2 linked regions of the Alligator mississippiensis genome follow. The protein of the gene in region 1 purifies or fractionates together with the protein of each later gene. This does not show direct contact. Links are inferred from orthologs where the notes say so. Each region holds a gene or a part of one and is shown on either strand. Other genes may lie near its edges.

Evidence for each region.
Region 2: the proteins of PIM1 (region 1) and EDC3 purify together in Homo sapiens (affinity purification with mass spectrometry; 3 studies listed by BioGRID and IntAct, counting the BioPlex papers as one, with this or other methods). This does not show direct contact. The link is inferred for Alligator mississippiensis from reciprocal best matches to the Homo sapiens genes PIM1 and EDC3.

What each region holds. Positions count from the first base shown.
Region 1 is NC_081837.1:35,905,692-35,914,465, forward strand, and holds the start of PIM1 (serine/threonine-protein kinase pim-1), read left to right. Parts: upstream 1-5,606; 5' UTR 5,607-5,768; coding exon 5,769-5,850; intron 5,851-6,087; coding exon 6,088-6,194; intron 6,195-6,286; coding exon 6,287-6,337; intron 6,338-6,448; coding exon 6,449-6,815; intron 6,816-8,746; coding exon 8,747-8,774. UniProt on the Homo sapiens protein: Proto-oncogene with serine/threonine kinase activity involved in cell survival and cell proliferation and thus providing a selective advantage in tumorigenesis.
Region 2 is NC_081834.1:41,705,442-41,713,329, forward strand, and holds the start of EDC3 (enhancer of mRNA-decapping protein 3), read left to right. Parts: upstream 1-4,231; 5' UTR 4,232-4,388; intron 4,389-4,481; exon of another isoform or gene 4,482-4,806; intron 4,807-7,888. UniProt on the Homo sapiens protein: Binds single-stranded RNA. Involved in the process of mRNA degradation and in the positive regulation of mRNA decapping. May play a role in spermiogenesis and oogenesis.

The sequences.
Region 1 (8,774 bases):
GTGAACGGGCCAGATTGAAGGTCCGATTCTCCCTGAGAGGCGCTGAGCAGCAATACCAGATGCTGCTGGCATGGAGCGGCTGACATCCGCAGCTTTTATTCTGACAGAAGGTGGTGGGGTTGGAGTCAAGCAGAAAAGTAGGTTATGCCGCCAGCCCAGCACAAAACAGGTAGCGAGCAGGATTTTTTTTCTAACACCTGACACATCCTAATTGCTTCAAGCAGGGAGCTGTGAAGCGCAGGTTGGAAAAAGGGAAATGCTAAATGCATCCGCCTAGGCCTGGGTTTGCGTGAACAGGAGCTTTCAGACACAATTTAGTCCATCTGGGGAAAATATACGCTGTCTTATGGAACACCTGAAGATTGCAAAATAAGTCTGGGCCTTCAGCTAGAAACTAGCAGGCCCATACCACCTGTGTCTGCATGGCTCAGGGCGGAGATAATGGGAGCTAGCTCCTTTCCGCTCTCCATTGCCAGTTCAAACCCAGTATAGATCAATGGTGATTGAAGCCCTCGGGTGGCCATTTCATAGGGCGAGTGCAATAAGTATGGAGGACTTGCTCTTCCTCCAAGGCCTTGTCTGCATTAGGGGTTGACCCCAGACACGAGTGGACCATTGCTGTCACAGCAGTAGTCCGATCCCTTAGCAGAGACTGGCAAAGCTATTCTCAGACACAGTTCATACCGGTGCATCTGCCAAGCAAAGGTGCCAGTCAGCTTTGTCTGTTTGCCCTGACACTAAGAGGCATGTGGCAATGGGGTGAAATCTTCAGGCAGACCTCCAGAACGCATGGCCGCATCTGCCGATCTACGCTGCCCTTGGACCTCAGCGGAGCCAGGCTGCTTTACGCCACCTGAGGATTTTGTCCCTAGCATCTGCATTCAGGAGCAGCACTGCTACATTTGAGGCTAATTAGCAGTTTCAACAGAGAGGCAGAGGAGGATGTACTAGCCTTTCTTCTCTGGAGGCGGTCCCTCCGGCAGGTCAGAAGGAAGGCACGCTGGTAGGACAGCTTGCCCTGGTACTCCCTCGGCTATCCGTGTTGGTAAATAAAGAACCACTGGTTCTAGGGCAGTCAGCTTGCTACCTTTCATCATCGCTGTATGGCATGCAATAATTAGCACGGGCCCGAGTCTGAGGAACTTACTTCCATCGCTGAGTGCTTACTCACGCCTATTGACTTAAAGAAGATGACTTGTGGGAATAACTAATAATAGATACAATCTTTTTTTTTTCCAGTCTTGCATCACTCGAAAATGGCTGCATTAGATGTTTTTCAAACTTTCCAACAACAAAAATTTTCACCTTGGCCAGAGAGCGAGCCTAAAAACTTTCAGCACCCAGAAAAGGGTGTTTTTGAAAGCTATGAGTCAGTCAAAAACAGGAGGTGGTAACTGCAATGTGTTTTACAGACTTGACTACAGTGTGCGGTACTTGAGGGAGAGGATAACATGGCAGTGGTTTGGAGGCACTACGTGGCCATCCATTAGTGAACCCAACGTATCGAATCAGAGTATGTCTCACATCTTATGTATTTATGCCATTTGGAGTGGGAGTATCTACACAGCCACTTTAAGGTGTAACGCTTTTGTTGGACCTCTAATTGCTTTGTGGGCCACTTCCAGAAATTGTGTGAGCATTTGTTTCCCTTTAGCAAAATACTTCTCCAGAAAGCAAGGATACTCAGCCTTAGGAAAATATTTAATCTCAACTCTAAAATGCCCTTAAAAGTCGCTCCCACCATGTGCAGCCTGTCTCTGGACAACTACAGTGTTTGAGATTAGAACTCTCTTTGCAACTATTTTATTCTGTGTAATCTTTGAAAATCAATTGTGGAGTTTTGTTTTGACTCAGCAAGGAGCCTGAGCCGCTGTGTGTTTTTTTAAATAGCAAAAGAAAACAGCGCTCACCAGAATTTCCAGTAAAACCCGTTAGATTTAAGCAATTCATTCTCCAAGTATGTGTGGGATGCTGGGAGCTCCCTGGTCTGCTCGGGCAAAATAGCCCAGATGGACTTCATCTGTAATAATTTAGCTCCCAGTGGCTGGAGCTCTTTGCTCTAAATGCTAATAGAGTGAGTAATCAGAAACCTACATCCAGTAAATTATTTATCTTATCTCTGGAACTCAGCAAAGCATCTCAGCCAGCGACTTCTGTGGAAAAAATGTTGGTCAAGAACCCCCGCTGGAATCTCCACTTTTACTAGAAAAGGGAAAAGTTCAGACACCAGTTTGCCTGCATGCATCAGGAAGCAATGAAGTAATGGCAATAATAGCCAAGACCAATCCAAACCAACTTCATCGGAACAGTAAAATGGGTCTGGCTTGTGTTGCTGATGCCAACCTTGACAGGCACTGTTACCAAACAGTCCTCTAATACTAAAAGTCAAGCAGCCTTGTAGATTTTTTCCCTTGGATTTGGACCAATAAAAGACGCACCATGTTCCCATAGAACAGATCAGAAATGGCCTCAACTGCTCCCGCTACATCCCTCCCTTTGCCAAAGCAAACAGCAAATTCGTCGTTTGACTCGACTGCCATCATCTACCGATGGCAATTATACCGCCTCCTTTAGCACGGTACGTAAGACGCTTGTAATCATGCATGTATTTATCCCCACAAGGCAGGGTGCCATTATCCCCATTTTACAGATGGGAAACAGCAAGGCTAAGGGATTTGCCCAAGGTCGAACAAGAAGTCTGAAGCAAAGCAGGGGCTTGAACCTAGGTCACCTCCTTGATTTAGTCTCATTTCCTCATCCCTTTCGTTCTGTTCATAGAGGCTGTATCCCAGCTACCCTTCACACCAAACATATTGCCCTACTGTGCCAAGGCACAGTGAAACAACCTTCAAAGCAACCAGCCTTTGCTTTTCTCAGAAAACCCCTGGGAGCACTCATCTCTCTTCAGCCTCCCAGTATTTCTGATCAAATTCAGACTGACTTCTGCACCAAGAAACAATTGAAAATAACCTTCTCTACATAGCTGTGGACCTGTTCCACCCTGTTGACCCAGGCTGAGTCAGTCTCCTTATACCCTTCGACCTCGGTGCACTGCGTGACACTTCCTTCTTGGAAAGCTTCGAACAAAACACTGGCATTGCTGGCTTTCTCCTCACCTGGCTGGCATTGCTGCTCCCTCTGTGCCTGCTTAGTCCCGGGTCCTCCAGCTAGACTGCATGGGGAACCTCAAAGCTCTCTTCTCACCCACCTCCTTATTCCAGTCTACCATCTGCCATTGTTTCAATCTAACCCTGCCTAGATCTATAGGGCTATGACACCTAACTCAACACCTTTCAATTTTACACCGACTCCTCTGTCAACTTCCTCTCTCCATCTGAACTTCCTCTGACAGAAATTCAGGAACTTCTGCACCAAGGTTCTCCGGAGCAAATGCAGCATAAACTCATTGATTTTCTGTAGTATTTTCTACTGCCAAAGACAGCGGCCAAGTTATGGAGGAAGGGGAACCATGCCACTTTCTAATTTTTGGAATATTTTGTGGAAAGCCTCAGGCATTATGTTGCATCATCAGCAGGAACATCTCTTTTTTTCTGCAGAAAGAAAGCAAGAAGAGGATAGGAAAAAAGCAAGAGGACGTGAGTGACTGGTGCCTCCTGAATCTGGGGGGGCACCCGCAGAAGCCACTGACAGTGGCAGCCCTGTCAGGGCAGGCACCAGCTGTACCGACAGTCAGTGTTGGCCATTGGGGGGGCACCAGCCCTGCTGGGGGGGCACGTGCACCCCCTACCAGTCACCTATGCACCTATCCCACTAAGGATATCCTGCACAGAGAATGCCTCACTCTTACTCCTTTGTCCTGACCGAATCCCCCACACTGGTATTCAGGGAGGAAAGGGAGGAGAGCTGCTATACCAGCCTATCCCACCTGAAATTCTTGCTAAGAAAGAGTAATTCCCAGTATTTCCCAAAAAGCGGCTTCCTAGCAGGGTAGTTGCACCGAAGAGATTCAAAACAACCAATACTGGGTGACAGAATCTAGATCCTAATACCAGTACTATGACATAGTCATAAGTTTAAGGGGATCCAAGACCTGAAAGTATTGACAAGGACTAAATGAATACTGCCTTCTCCATTGCCTTGCTTGCAGTCAGGTCTGCAAGATGCAGTGAGCCCTAACGCGCGTTGCAGCAAATTCTCATTTGATAGTGTTTTTACCCAGCAAAAAAACAAATGCAAGGCATGAAGGAATTTTTAACATGCAATCTATGCTGAGCATTTGTGTTTCATTCACCTTTGCACTGTTTTCATGTGATGGAGACCAGTCAATCTCACTTGTGTTTATAGCAAGTTTCGCTTTCGGGTTTCTGCAGTGTTTGCTTTGCAAGCACTGCTGGGAAGTGTTTGCTTGTTTTAAAAACAGTTGTTCCTGTTGGGACTTGTTTAAAGTCAAAATATTGCGGAAACGTTTCGGCTGGCCTTCGCTTTTGCAGCAGCTCCTTCATGCAAAATACGCGCTTGGAGGCCCCATCTGAGATGCCATTTGCCTATTAAAGGCTGCATTGAGCCTTCTCTACCTGGATACATACCAAAGGGTGCATATCACAACCCTGGACCCTGAACTTAGACCGGGACAATAAGCACACGATTGCTTCTTAGGAGCGATTTGAAAAAAGACGCGCCTGCCAGGCTGCAACAAGAGGTGGGGATGGCAGATGCTGCCTTGGAGAAGTCAACGAAGCGGGCTCCATGCCGTTTACCACATCTTATTTATGAGCGCATGTATATGGTGACAGAGGGTGGCCATCATAGAGGATGGTCCGGTTTTCTGCTACTCTGTCCTCTATTGATACCAAACCCGACGCCTTTATTTCTCTTCAAGAGAAGAGCAGAGGACACAAAGGCACCCGGTTTCGTATAATAGAGGACAACTGGACTGTCCTGCATGATGGCCACCCTAGGCACACGTGTGGTCGGGCCACAGACCAAGCGGTGAAGGGGAATTGAAGGAGCTCCTTGGCCAGAAGCTCTCCAGCAGGGGAGGCCTGCGCATCGGCGCTTCCGGAGCAGCCGCCCCGACTCTACGCAAGGCTGGGAGGAGCTGACCCTGAAATCCCTGCCGAGCTCCACCACCCTGCTGATGCAAGGGGGGCCACCGGCGCCACAGCCTCCCATGGCTGTGTCCCCCATAGGTATGCTGTGCACCTGGGATTGTGTCTGGAGGGCCCAAGGGAGGCACCGTGCAGAGACAGAGGGGACAGCGCCCCTGCCCCTCAGGATTAAGGGGGTGCAGTGGGGGTTTGCCCTTAAAATCAAGGGAGTTTGCTCCTTAAAATCAAAGGGGTGCAGTGGGGGCTTGGCCCTTTAAATTGAGGGGGCGCCCCCGCAGCACGTGCTGGGGCACGGGGCTCCCCTGCCCGCCCCTCTCTTGGCGCCTTTTCCTTCCCGCCACGTCTCGAGCCCGCCCTCCCCATTCTGACGGGCGGGGAAAGCCACGCGCCGCCCCTGATTGGCTGCGGCGCCCCCCCCCGCCCCCGCCGCCAGGCCCCGCCCCGCGGCTGTCCCCGGCCCCGCCCCCCGCGCTCCCCTCCCCCCGTTACTACAGGCTGCCGGAGCGGGCGCCGGCGCCACACGGGAGCACGGCACCGCGCGGAGCACCCGCCGCTGCCGCCGCCCCGCCCCGCCCCGCCGCCAACCCGCTGCAGCCGCCGCCCCGCCTCGGCCCCGAGCCGAGCCCAACCGACCCGCTGGCGCCCGGCGCGGTTCGGGCGGTGCCGGTGCCGGTGCCGGAGCAGGGCGACAGCGCGGGGATGCTGCTGTCCAAGATCAACTCCCTGGCGCACCTCTGCTCCGCGCCGCCCGGCGACCTGCACCCGGCCAAGCTGCCGCCAGGTGAGCCCGGGGCTCGCCCGCACCCACTCCGCAGTGGCCTCGGGGCCGTGCAGCCAGGTGTCGGGGGAGTGCATCCGGATCGGATCCGGGGGGGTCATGCTAATCAAATCCGGATTGCACGGTGGGGGGGAGGTGATCCGGATTGGGGCCTGGGGGTAACGCAGATTGGGTTCAGTCGGGTGCGTGCGGTTGCTCCGGATGGGCTGGTGCTGACCCCGCTTGTGCCCTGGCCCGCAGGGAAGGAGAAGGAGCCGCTGGAGAAGCTGTACCAGGTGGGCTCGCTGCTGGGCAGCGGCGGCTTCGGCTCGGTCTACTCGGGCACCCGCCTGTCCGACAGCGCCCCGGTGAGTGCTCGCCGCCTGCGCCCCCCTCCTTCTGCGCCTCCCGCTTGCCCCCGGCCGGCTCTGTCTGACGCGTGGTTGTGTTTGGGTTGCAGGTGGCCATCAAGCACGTGGCTCGGGACCGCATCTCGGACTGGGGAGAGCTGGTAAGTGGGGGAGACGAGGGCGCCCAGCACCCCGGCGCGGCCTGGCACGGCACGGCGCCGGCCGCTGAGCCCTCCCGCCCGTGCTGACGAGCTCTCTGCTCTCTGTGCTAGCCCGGCGGCACCCGCGTGCCCATGGAAATCCTGCTGCTGAAGAAGGTGGGCTCCGGCTTCCGCGGCGTGATCCGGCTCCTGGACTGGTTCGAGAGGCCCGACAGCTTCGTCCTGGTGCTGGAGCGGCCCGACCCCGTGCAGGATCTGTTCGACTTCATCACGGAGCGGGGGGCCCTGGCCGAGGAGCTGGCCCGCGGCTTCTTCCGCCAGGTCCTGGAGGCCGTCCGGCACTGTCACAGCTGCGGGGTCCTGCACCGGGATATCAAGGACGAGAACATCCTCATTGACCTGAACAGCGGAGAACTGAAGCTGATCGATTTTGGGTCCGGAGCCTTGCTCAAGGACACGGTGTACACTGATTTCGACGGTGAGCGACTCTTTCCATCCCCCTCATGTTTTACCTGCGTAGAGAGGAAGCCGGGGAAATTCCTCTTAGAAACGGGTTGTTCCCTCCCCCTGCCTAGTCAGTAATTTCCCAGCCGGGGAATGAGCTCGCTTTCTCTGTGCTGGCGTGGTTATCGGCTAAATCTATTTTGCTGGAAGCATCGCCTCTCCGAGACCTCTCAGGCTTGTCTCCCTGCCCTGTCCCCACATAACATTTCCCGCTAGGCGTCATGCCAGACATCGGTGGTGGCTGCCTGTCACGCAGGGGCTGCGTCTCCTTGGGCAACATGGCAGAGACCGGGGCTGAACTCGCTGGCAGGCTGATGCCTCTGTGAGCCCTGAGGATGGAGAAAGTTGAAGTCTGGGGCTCGGTTTGGTCCTGATGGACCCATTTCCCACCCCCGGGTCCATCTCTCCTGTAGCATAGGTTGGGGAAAGATTGAGTGAAAACCTGTCTGCAGCCATGCTGCTCTGATTCGGATCCTAACCTCATCTGGCAGCTAGAAAGCGAGGGAGAGGATATTGTTTTTCCTCTCCCAGGCTTGAGAGAGAGAGAGAAAGGGCTCTCGTGCTGTTTCCTTCCAGTGATGGATGGCCTTCAATATGGGGAGGGGGGCCACGAGGAGAAGGAAGCTGCCGCCTCCGCCATCTCGCTAAATTATTCATTTCGCTGGAAAGTTGCTTTTTGTCGGGGATGTATGTTGTGAAATTGGAGCTGAGGGAGATCTGCTTACAGCCGGCTCCCTTTCTGCCGCAGAAAGGCACCCGGGCCTTTGCCCTTTTTGTATTGGGGGGGAGCGTGGCTCGTGGGGAAAAGCATTTGACCTTTGAGCTTGGGCTCGGGCTTGCCCAGTGGGTGACGTAGGAGATTATTCCACCGTATATTCCGGCTTCTTCGGCGGAGGGCGGTTAATCTGCAAAACCCCCGCGTGTTGCCTGGGGTTTGTTTTGCTCCTGCCTCTTCAAATGGCTTGGCCTGCGCTGCATTTTTTGTTTTTAATGTAACGGTTAATGACCAGGGCTGGGTTCTTCCTCCCGCGGAATTTCTCGAGCTGGTGATGCCCCCTGGCGGGGCACCGGGGATCTTTTTACAACCGAAAGTTTGTAAACAAGAGTCACGTGGCCAGAAACCAGACTAGCAGCTCTGACCTCAGTCTCCTCTTCCTGCCAGAAGGGAAGAGATCAGATACAACAAAAGGCGAAGGGTGTAAGCCTCTGCAGCAGCAAAGCAGGCTGGAATTCGAGCCCAGCTCTAATTATCACATGCACAACTACAAACTGCTTGCCTGCCCGGGCGAAACTGCTCCCTTGATGTTGAACAACAAACGTTACTTCATCGCTTAGGAGTGGGCTGGCCTCACGTGCGGCTGACTGTATTCCCTTTTATGGGGTAGGCTGCTATACAGTCTAGCAAGCCGCCTCCTCTCTGGGATGTAAATGATATTGCCATATTTGCCCAGCAGAGCCTTTTATGGAGAACTGATTGAAAGGTTGCCTGGATCCCTTTTTTGATGCAGTAGATGAGGTCTCAACCCTTGGATGCTGGGTGACTGGACTGAAGCATTGGCAGTCTGGCTTCAGGAGATGCAGTTAAGGGTCTCAAGTCCATTAAAGCTGGAAAGTGTGGTTGCTGCTTGTGTTTTGTTTGGTCCTGCTTCACTTCGGGGCCATGTTCCTAAGCACAGCCCTGCAGTCACCAGGAGCTTTGCACTGTCAAACTACCTGTACTGAAGCTTCACACTTGAGTTATTGCAACCTAAAGCCTGGAGCTTCAGCTACCTGACTTGCTGTCTTGAAGCCACATTCATGCCGTTGATTAATTCAGTCGGCTTTTAATCATTCCTGTTTTTGTTCTGATGCCTAGGCTTAGACCAAACACTTTCCTTATAGCGAGTTTTTGCTCTTGTCTTGCAGGCACAAGAGTGTACAGCCCCCCAGAATG
Region 2 (7,888 bases), on another chromosome or scaffold:
TTCAAGGTTTTGGCATGAACATTTTCTATCCAGATTAATCTACTGTCTGTTTTTATAGATCTCAACAAGGCAGGCTCAGGCTCTCTCTATGCATAGAGAGACTTTAACTATATTCAAGCCTAATTCAGTACCTACTGCCATCAGTGGGGAATTTTTGACCCTCTGTGGATCAGAGCCATGTCCCCATCCAGCTCCTGCTTGCACAAAAATCGGGAGTAAGACTATTAAGTTCAATAGTACTCTGTTAGTGTAAAACAGCCTTGTCCATAGTTGAGGGGCAATTTCTTTTTAACAGGATCCTTCTTGGAGTATGTTAGCTTCTCAGAAACTTGTCCAAGCTTTCCTGTCTAGTACTGAAACAGCCTCCCTTCCCCCCCCCCCGAATTATGCATGTGTTTCTAGACTGCAACTTCACTTCTCTATTTCTGGGTACTGTTACTTTGGCTCCTTTCATAACTTCCTTTTCAAAATGGTCACAACATACTAGCGACTGGAATTTGGCTATAAATATGGATTGCATGACCATGGTTGGCCAATTCCCAAAAAGCAAAGCGTGACATATCATTCTTAAGCCATCAACCACCAGGCTACAAGGAGAAGAACCAGTGGGAATCTGATTTCTCCCTTGCACTTAAATACATACCTAACTTTGTGCATACAGTTCTAGGGATCTTGCATAAGCAACCTTGCTGTTCACCTTGCACATAATTTTGTGGATATAATTATATATGCACTACTTCTTAAATCTACCGGTTGATAGAATTATCATACTTGACAGTAATTAGTACAAATTAATTAGCATTTGAGTATGGACTTGTTCAGAGCCCATATGGGTTCTCTAACAAGCCAAAGCCACTAAACTTGTTAAAACAGATGCTGCTTCAGTGAAAGCACCTGTTGCCTCAAACAGGCAGTGAACATTCCCTTTCAGTGTAAATAATGGGAAATGCTTCTTCTACTGTGCTGTAGGAAATGAGATCCTATGTATAGTTAAAGTAGCATCCATGCCGTGATGCTTGGAAATTACTATTGGATATCACAAGTCCATAACTTCTAGGCTTTTTAGTTTTTTTGATTCTACATCTAGTTGAATAGCAAAGCTTGAATATTTCAGTGATGTCTCCCTTGCTGAAGAGGCAAGCCTTTTAATCACATACTCCAATAATTCTCAGCTAGCCTAGCTTCGTGATTAGTGTGATTGGTTTTTCAACTGAAAATGCATGCCAGGAAGCACATTCCTCTCTCAAAGTGAAGTGTACTTCTGGGAAGAATGTCTGTTGAAGTCAACCACATTAGTCCTATTTTGACAATGTAAAATGGTGCATAAGTATTTGGCTAATGTCAAAGTAAAGTTTTGCAGTTTATGGACTAACAGCTCCATAAATGGATTAGAAATTGAAGAAAACAGATTTCAGACAACCCACCCTAACAGTTCACAAGCCCATTTGCAAAAAATTGGGATGAATTAGCAAATGATTTACTAATCCAAACAGTTGCTAATTTAAAAACAATATTTTGGATTTTTTTTCCTTACAGCTGGTCAAACAATTCATTAAGTACTGAATACAGAGCAAATATTGATTACTGCCTGAAGTGTTTGCTGCTTAAACTTAAACAAAAATGTTACAGAAACCATGCCCTAGTTCCTTGCACTGAGGAGAGGGTGATGGAAAGTCAACTAAAGAAAATAAATATAAAGAGATTAAGATTTTAATTACTCAACAGAAAAAAATATTCCAAAATAGAAGATAGTTTAATAGGAACTAGGGCATATAGAATTATTCATTTGGAGTATAGTACATCACTAACCTATATGTAGCATATGGGCATTTTATTAAATTAGCTGGAGGATGGTGTCTTTGCAATCACTTTCTTAAACGGCTAGATGAAATAATGTGTCCCCTTAGAAGGTCAGAGAATCTATTCCACAATGACCTTTATTACCACTGTTAATTCAGCTACTGTAATCATTTTGTTCTTTATACAGTCAGAAGCTCAGTTTTAAATTGGCAAGATCAGCAAGTTCACAAGTAAAGTGCACAGCTTTTTTTCTTTAGAAAATTATGAGCAAAACAAGATATGGTCATTTTCCTGACTCTGTCAATCAAAAGGTTGATTTTAATAAAAATGAAGGGGAACAGAGAGATGACAGGGATTTTATAAAGAAAAATCTGATAGAAAGATGAGAGGCTAGTAATATGCAAAAACTGGGGTTCATTTTGCAAGGTCATCAGCGGGATTTTGTTACTGCAAAACAAAATCTAAACAAAACCTAGGTTCTGTTTAATCCATACCTCTCCAAAATTGAGATGAAAAATGAGGGGTAAAATGTTTCTGAATCTGGTCCGCTCCCCAGTGTTCTCATGTGACAGACTATTCCTGCACCTGAGTTGTGGTTGTTGGGCATGTCTGGCAACCGAAAAACTCTATTTTCTGATTCTTACTGGTCCATGAGCGAGAGAGAATTGTAATGCATTTTCTAATCTTGCATTTCTATCTGGGAGTCAGATACAGCAGCCAAATAAGCTTGAAATAATTATACCCAACCTATGTGTAACAGCTGGTAGATGTGCCCTGTACCCACTCATACATGAAATTTTGCTACACCTACTTATACAGGGTAGGAGGTGGCAGCTAGAGCCTCTTATTCCAGTGCATTTCATAAAACATTGGGTGAGTCTTGGAGAACTTCCAGAAACAATGGAACTAGAAAAGTCTTAGAAGCTTATTCAATGTGTAGCTGACCTTAACATCAACAACACTATAAATCTAGGCCAGATTGGCAGGCTTTGGGATGGCAGAACTCCCAATATTAAATGAAGCTAGAAATTCAGAACCTGCATTACAGGCAGTGATAAAAGCTGCTGTGAAAGATGATTCTTTGGGCCAATTCAGGCACAACCTCAAATGTGTACTGAAAAGGCAATCAGGACTTGTAGTAGAGATGATATATTTTATTACACCAAGATTTTTGCAAAAAAAAAAAAAATGTTTTAGTTGCAAGCTTTCAGGCACAAACACATTATGATAAATTCATGAAACAATACATCAATAAACACTGGTGTTCTTGACCCAGAAGCTCACGGCCCCAAAGTAGGAATATCGCTTTCTCGTGTTTTACGGTCAACCCAGTCCAGCCAGAGTTCCCAGATGTAATGGTGATGTAATAATGGTGATGTAATTGAGTCACAGAACAGGAGGGCTGGGAGGGACATCAGGAGGTCACATCTAATCCAACCCCCTGCTCAAAGCAGAACGAGCCCATTTTATTTCTCATGCAGCAGGGGATGAAATCCCCTTCGTTAACAGGTCAATGTGTCCATGAAAATAAAAATGTTGCCTTGCTTCATTTAAATCACTTCCAAGGCAGCCTGCATGGCCCGGCCGTGACTAGAAAACAAATTCCTTTAATAGAGCGGGTGGTGAGCCAACCTTACGGGAAGGGAAGGGGCGTGATTTATGAGGCCTAAGGAGTGTTGAAGTTTAAGGAAGTAGGGTGGACTTGTTTTTGGAGTGAGTAATGGGCTAATACGTGAGCACCCTGCCTTGTGCTCTGAACGCGATGGTTTTCTAGGGCACCAGATGGCAGCTGATCGTTTTAGTCACTAGGCCGAGCTCAGCCTTGCTAAAGCGTGGGGCTACAAGACACGTGTTGCGTGTGTAGCTGTGCAATGAGACCACCAAATCAGAGGCGCCCTGCCTGCGGAGACGCGGGTGCCCCGTGGTGTTTCGGAGGGAGGCTTGGCCGAGTCCCAGCCCTGCGCGTAGGTGCCAGGAGGCTGCTCCTTTGCCCCGTGTGAAAGCCAGGGAGCCCCTGCTTGGGGAGCGCGTGCCTCTCAGGTGCGCCCAGGGTGCCGAGCCCAGCAGCAGGCGCCAGGCTGGCTCGCTCATCCCTTGGTGGATGCCAGCCCTTTCCGCACCCACGGGCCCTGCCCCTCCACCGGCACTCAGTGATGACCGCTGAAGGGGGGAGGGGTGACCCCACTGCACTGAGCGACCCCCTCAGCACCTGACCGGCAGGCCATAGGATGGCAGGTGCCGGAGTCTGCGGTACACTAGGACTCCCTGTGCCACGTGGCTCTGTGGGGGCTGTGAGGGGTCTCGCAGCTGAGCGCGGTGGGCGGAGACACCGCACGCCCCACCCCCACCCGCAGGCGGTAGACTTCTGCGCATGCGCACACCGACCCTCTCGAGCCCATGATGCGGTGGCGGCGTTATTCTAAGCTCCGATTGGCGGCTAGAGTGTACCCCCCGCCCCGGGCTGATGGGGTGGGGGGTTAGGGTTGGTGCTCTCGGATTGGAGTTCTGGCGGAGGCGGAAGTGACGGCACGACGCAGCGCAGCGGACAGGAGACGTTTCCGGTGTGCGTCGGGGCTGCTACGGAGCTGGTGAGAGAGGCGGGGAGCGAGCGGCGGGACTCGGGCGCGGCCCCTCCCCCGCCTTGGCCTTGGCCTTTCCCAGGGCGGAGTGCTCCTGGGGGGTGGCCCTGGCCCTGGCCGTCGGGGCTCAGGCTTGTGTAAGCCCCCCGCCCGGGTGAAGGAGCCTGGCCAACGCCTTGCAGCAGCCTCGCTTCTTCCTCGAGCTCCAGGGTCCTTCCTGTCCCCCCGGGTTCCTGTAATCCTCACCTCGGACGGGTCCGGCTGGGGGGCGTCTTCTCCCTCACGCTCACGGGGACCCGCCCCAGGGGAGCCGCTTGTGCTGGGTGTCGCTGGGCCCTGTTAGCATCTGCCTGCGTCGCTCCCCGTGTCGCGGGAGCGCTGGGGCAAGCCGCACGGGGCGCTGAGGAAGCCGAGCACGTTGGCACGTGTGAGGAAAAGAAGCGTCGTGAGGTTTGGGGAAGAAATGACGCTTGGATGCCAGAAGGTCTGGAGGCGCCGCCGCTACGGGGAGGAGCCCTGGGCGTTGCATCCAGAGCCTGAGGCCGGGGCGGTCCCACTCGTGGCCTCTGGCAGCCCCTGGTCCCCACCTGGCACCAGTTGCCGTAACATCCTTCTGGCCGCCACAGAGCGTTTCCTCCATCCTCCAGCTTCCACCTTGTGCCCTGCCACTGTGGCGGGGCGCGGTATGGGACACGGAGCTGTGTAGGGTTGGGGTTGCAGTGTGCGGTGCAGCAGTGGGGGGAGGCACCCACGGGGGGGGGTGCGGTGCAGCAGGGGTCATGTGTGCACACCACAGCCCCTACCAATGCTGCCCTGTGGCATGCGGCCCCCAGCGGCTTAGAAACAGCTTAAGCCAGTGCTGTCCAGTTTCTCAGTGTTTCACATTGAGAGGGAGATGGGGCAGGGGTGGGACGGGACAGGACGTGCTGTCTTGCACCTGCCTCTGCTTCTTGCACCTTCCTCTGAAGCATCTGATGTCTGCTGCTTTGGGAGGGAGAGTACTACTAGAGTAGCTGACTTTGGGTCTGGTCTAGAAGAGCAATTTTTATGAACTTTCATGTGCTAAAATAAGAGGAAAGGGAGTAGACCCTTGACCTCTACCAGTACTGAGCCATTACTCATAATTGTCAGTGGTGGATTCTCCTGAACTGGCAGTTCTCAATACTAGTAAACACTGCCTAAATCCATCTTGAGGCTTGTTATTCTGCTGTAGCACCAAATCGTTTTCTGTACCTTTTCAGTGAAGTTGGCTTGATTAAAATGGCTTTCGGTAACAATTTATCTTTAAAGCACAGCTAGCACTTTGGGTAGCCCTGCTGGCTCTTGGTGGTCTTAAGTAATTGCAGCCCAGATGGCAAAGCAGAGTTTGACTTTCCATGGGATAACTTAGCATTTAAAACTTTTACTGACATACTTATCTTGATGCTCTTTACATACCCAGAGTACTGTATGAACACAAACTATCTTGCCCCTAAGCCTGTATGACCAATACTATTCCCACTTTACAGTTGAAATAAGCTAGGCTTATTTTTAGTCGCAGGGGATATAGATAATTATATTGCAAATTACATAGTAATAGTTTTATCACCCTTCACGGATCAGTAATTGATCTATCTCTTCTAAACATTTTTTTTTTTTTTCAGACAAAAAGTATGGAATTATTCCTGTATGAATAGGAACAACTTTATCTCTAACACAGGAATTGTACTTTTAAAAAGCACAGGCAGTCAGTTGTTCAGTGGAGACACTAGCACCAATCTCTTTTTTTCTAAGTCAAATCATGGGATTGGACAAAACTTCTGTATAGACTGAATAAATTGTTGCTGATGTGTAAATGGGATATTTATTAGAGGTGCACTGATGCATCAGTTCCATATCAGATTGGCACCGATATAGGGAAAACTGACAGTTTTGGAAATCAGCTCTTTATTGGCTGCATCAGGCAAAATGTGGCTAATAAATGGCCCTTGCATGTGCACAGCAGCAGCATGCATGCGGCCAGGAACACAAGCTAGAGGGTTGGAGACCAGTGTCGGGCTGGTAAGTTTGTTGGGGGAGGGAGTGGGGCTGGGGCAGGCACTACTCCGCTGGGGTTGGGTAAAGGACAGAGCCACAAACAGCTTGTCCAGGGGATGTAGAGACAGGGTGAGGTGGCAGCTCCCACTGCTGTGTGCACCCTGTGAGGGCATAGGGGGGTGTACCCACAGACCTGCACACAGGGTGGGATAGGTTGCTCCTGTGGGATGGGGCCAGGGACTGCGAATTTTGGAGTGGTTGGAGCCCCCCCCCCCCCATTTCTCTCAGCACTGCTGCCGCCTGCCCCAAATACAGCATAACAGAGTTCAGCTTAGTGCCCCCCCCTCCCCCCCACTGGGAAGAGACCAGCATTGTCCTGCACTCACCCCACGTGCCCTCCTGGGGTGCGTGAAGTGGCAAGAGCTGCACCCCCTGGATGAGCTACTCGTGGCTCTGTTCCACACCCTGCCCCACGTCAACTGAGCAGTCCCTCCTCCACTCCCTCCCTCACCATGGGGTGGGGGAGGGGGCCCTCAATTTGCCCCCCCATGCCCCTTCCCTTCCCCCACAACAGACTTACTAGCCTGATGCTGCTCTCCAAGCTGCCTGGCTGCATATTGGAATTGGATCTGTATCGGACAATATGGCTCCTTAAAAATCGGTCATTGGTATCGGCCCAAAAAATCTCTATAGGTGGACCCCTAATATTTCTCTATCTAAACTGTACAGTACAAGCACTTATTTATGACTTTCAATTTCTTAGGTAATTAATAAGGGAACATTTACAAATAAAAAGCAAACAATGACAAGTATCATTTTATTTTTGTTTTTTAGTACTGCTTGACAGCCAGCACCCTCCCTACTCAAATCAGCTTAATTTTGGGGTAGTCACTTTCACTACTGAGTCCTCAGTACTACAGTGTTTAGGGCTTAAAGAGGTGCTAGTCAATTTAAAAAAGACTAGCAGACCTTTCTGGTGTGGCACACTGTCTCTTGTGATGCCACACTTCCTGGACACTGTTTCTGGGAGGATTCACTCTGTCACATAAGGTTAGGCCCCAGACTCTCTTGCAAAGGGCAGTGACAAGACTGTTACTACTTTTCTGTAAGTCATTTTCATAAAAGTTCCAGTAAACTGTTGTTTCCATATCAGAAACCTCATCAAGGTATTACCAGCAACTCCCTGGCTGCTTTGGGCACAAGCTGCAGTGCTCACCCAAAAGCTGTGACTGAGAGTTAACACAGGATTCTGTCCCTTGGGTTTGCTGAGCAGACACAGATGCCCTACGCAACATGCATTGTGCCTCCAGAAGTGCTCCTTTTCTAGCGAAGAAACCAGCTTTCTTGCTTAAAATGCACACTTCAATGTTGAGTGGCTGACTTGTGAGGGAAAGGTGCATGTTATGTGGTAAACGGTATTCCCCCTCTTCTCTGTCTTTGGATTTCATGAGTGCCTTTTCTCTTGTCTCTTCTTCTGCCTTTATTTATGTATA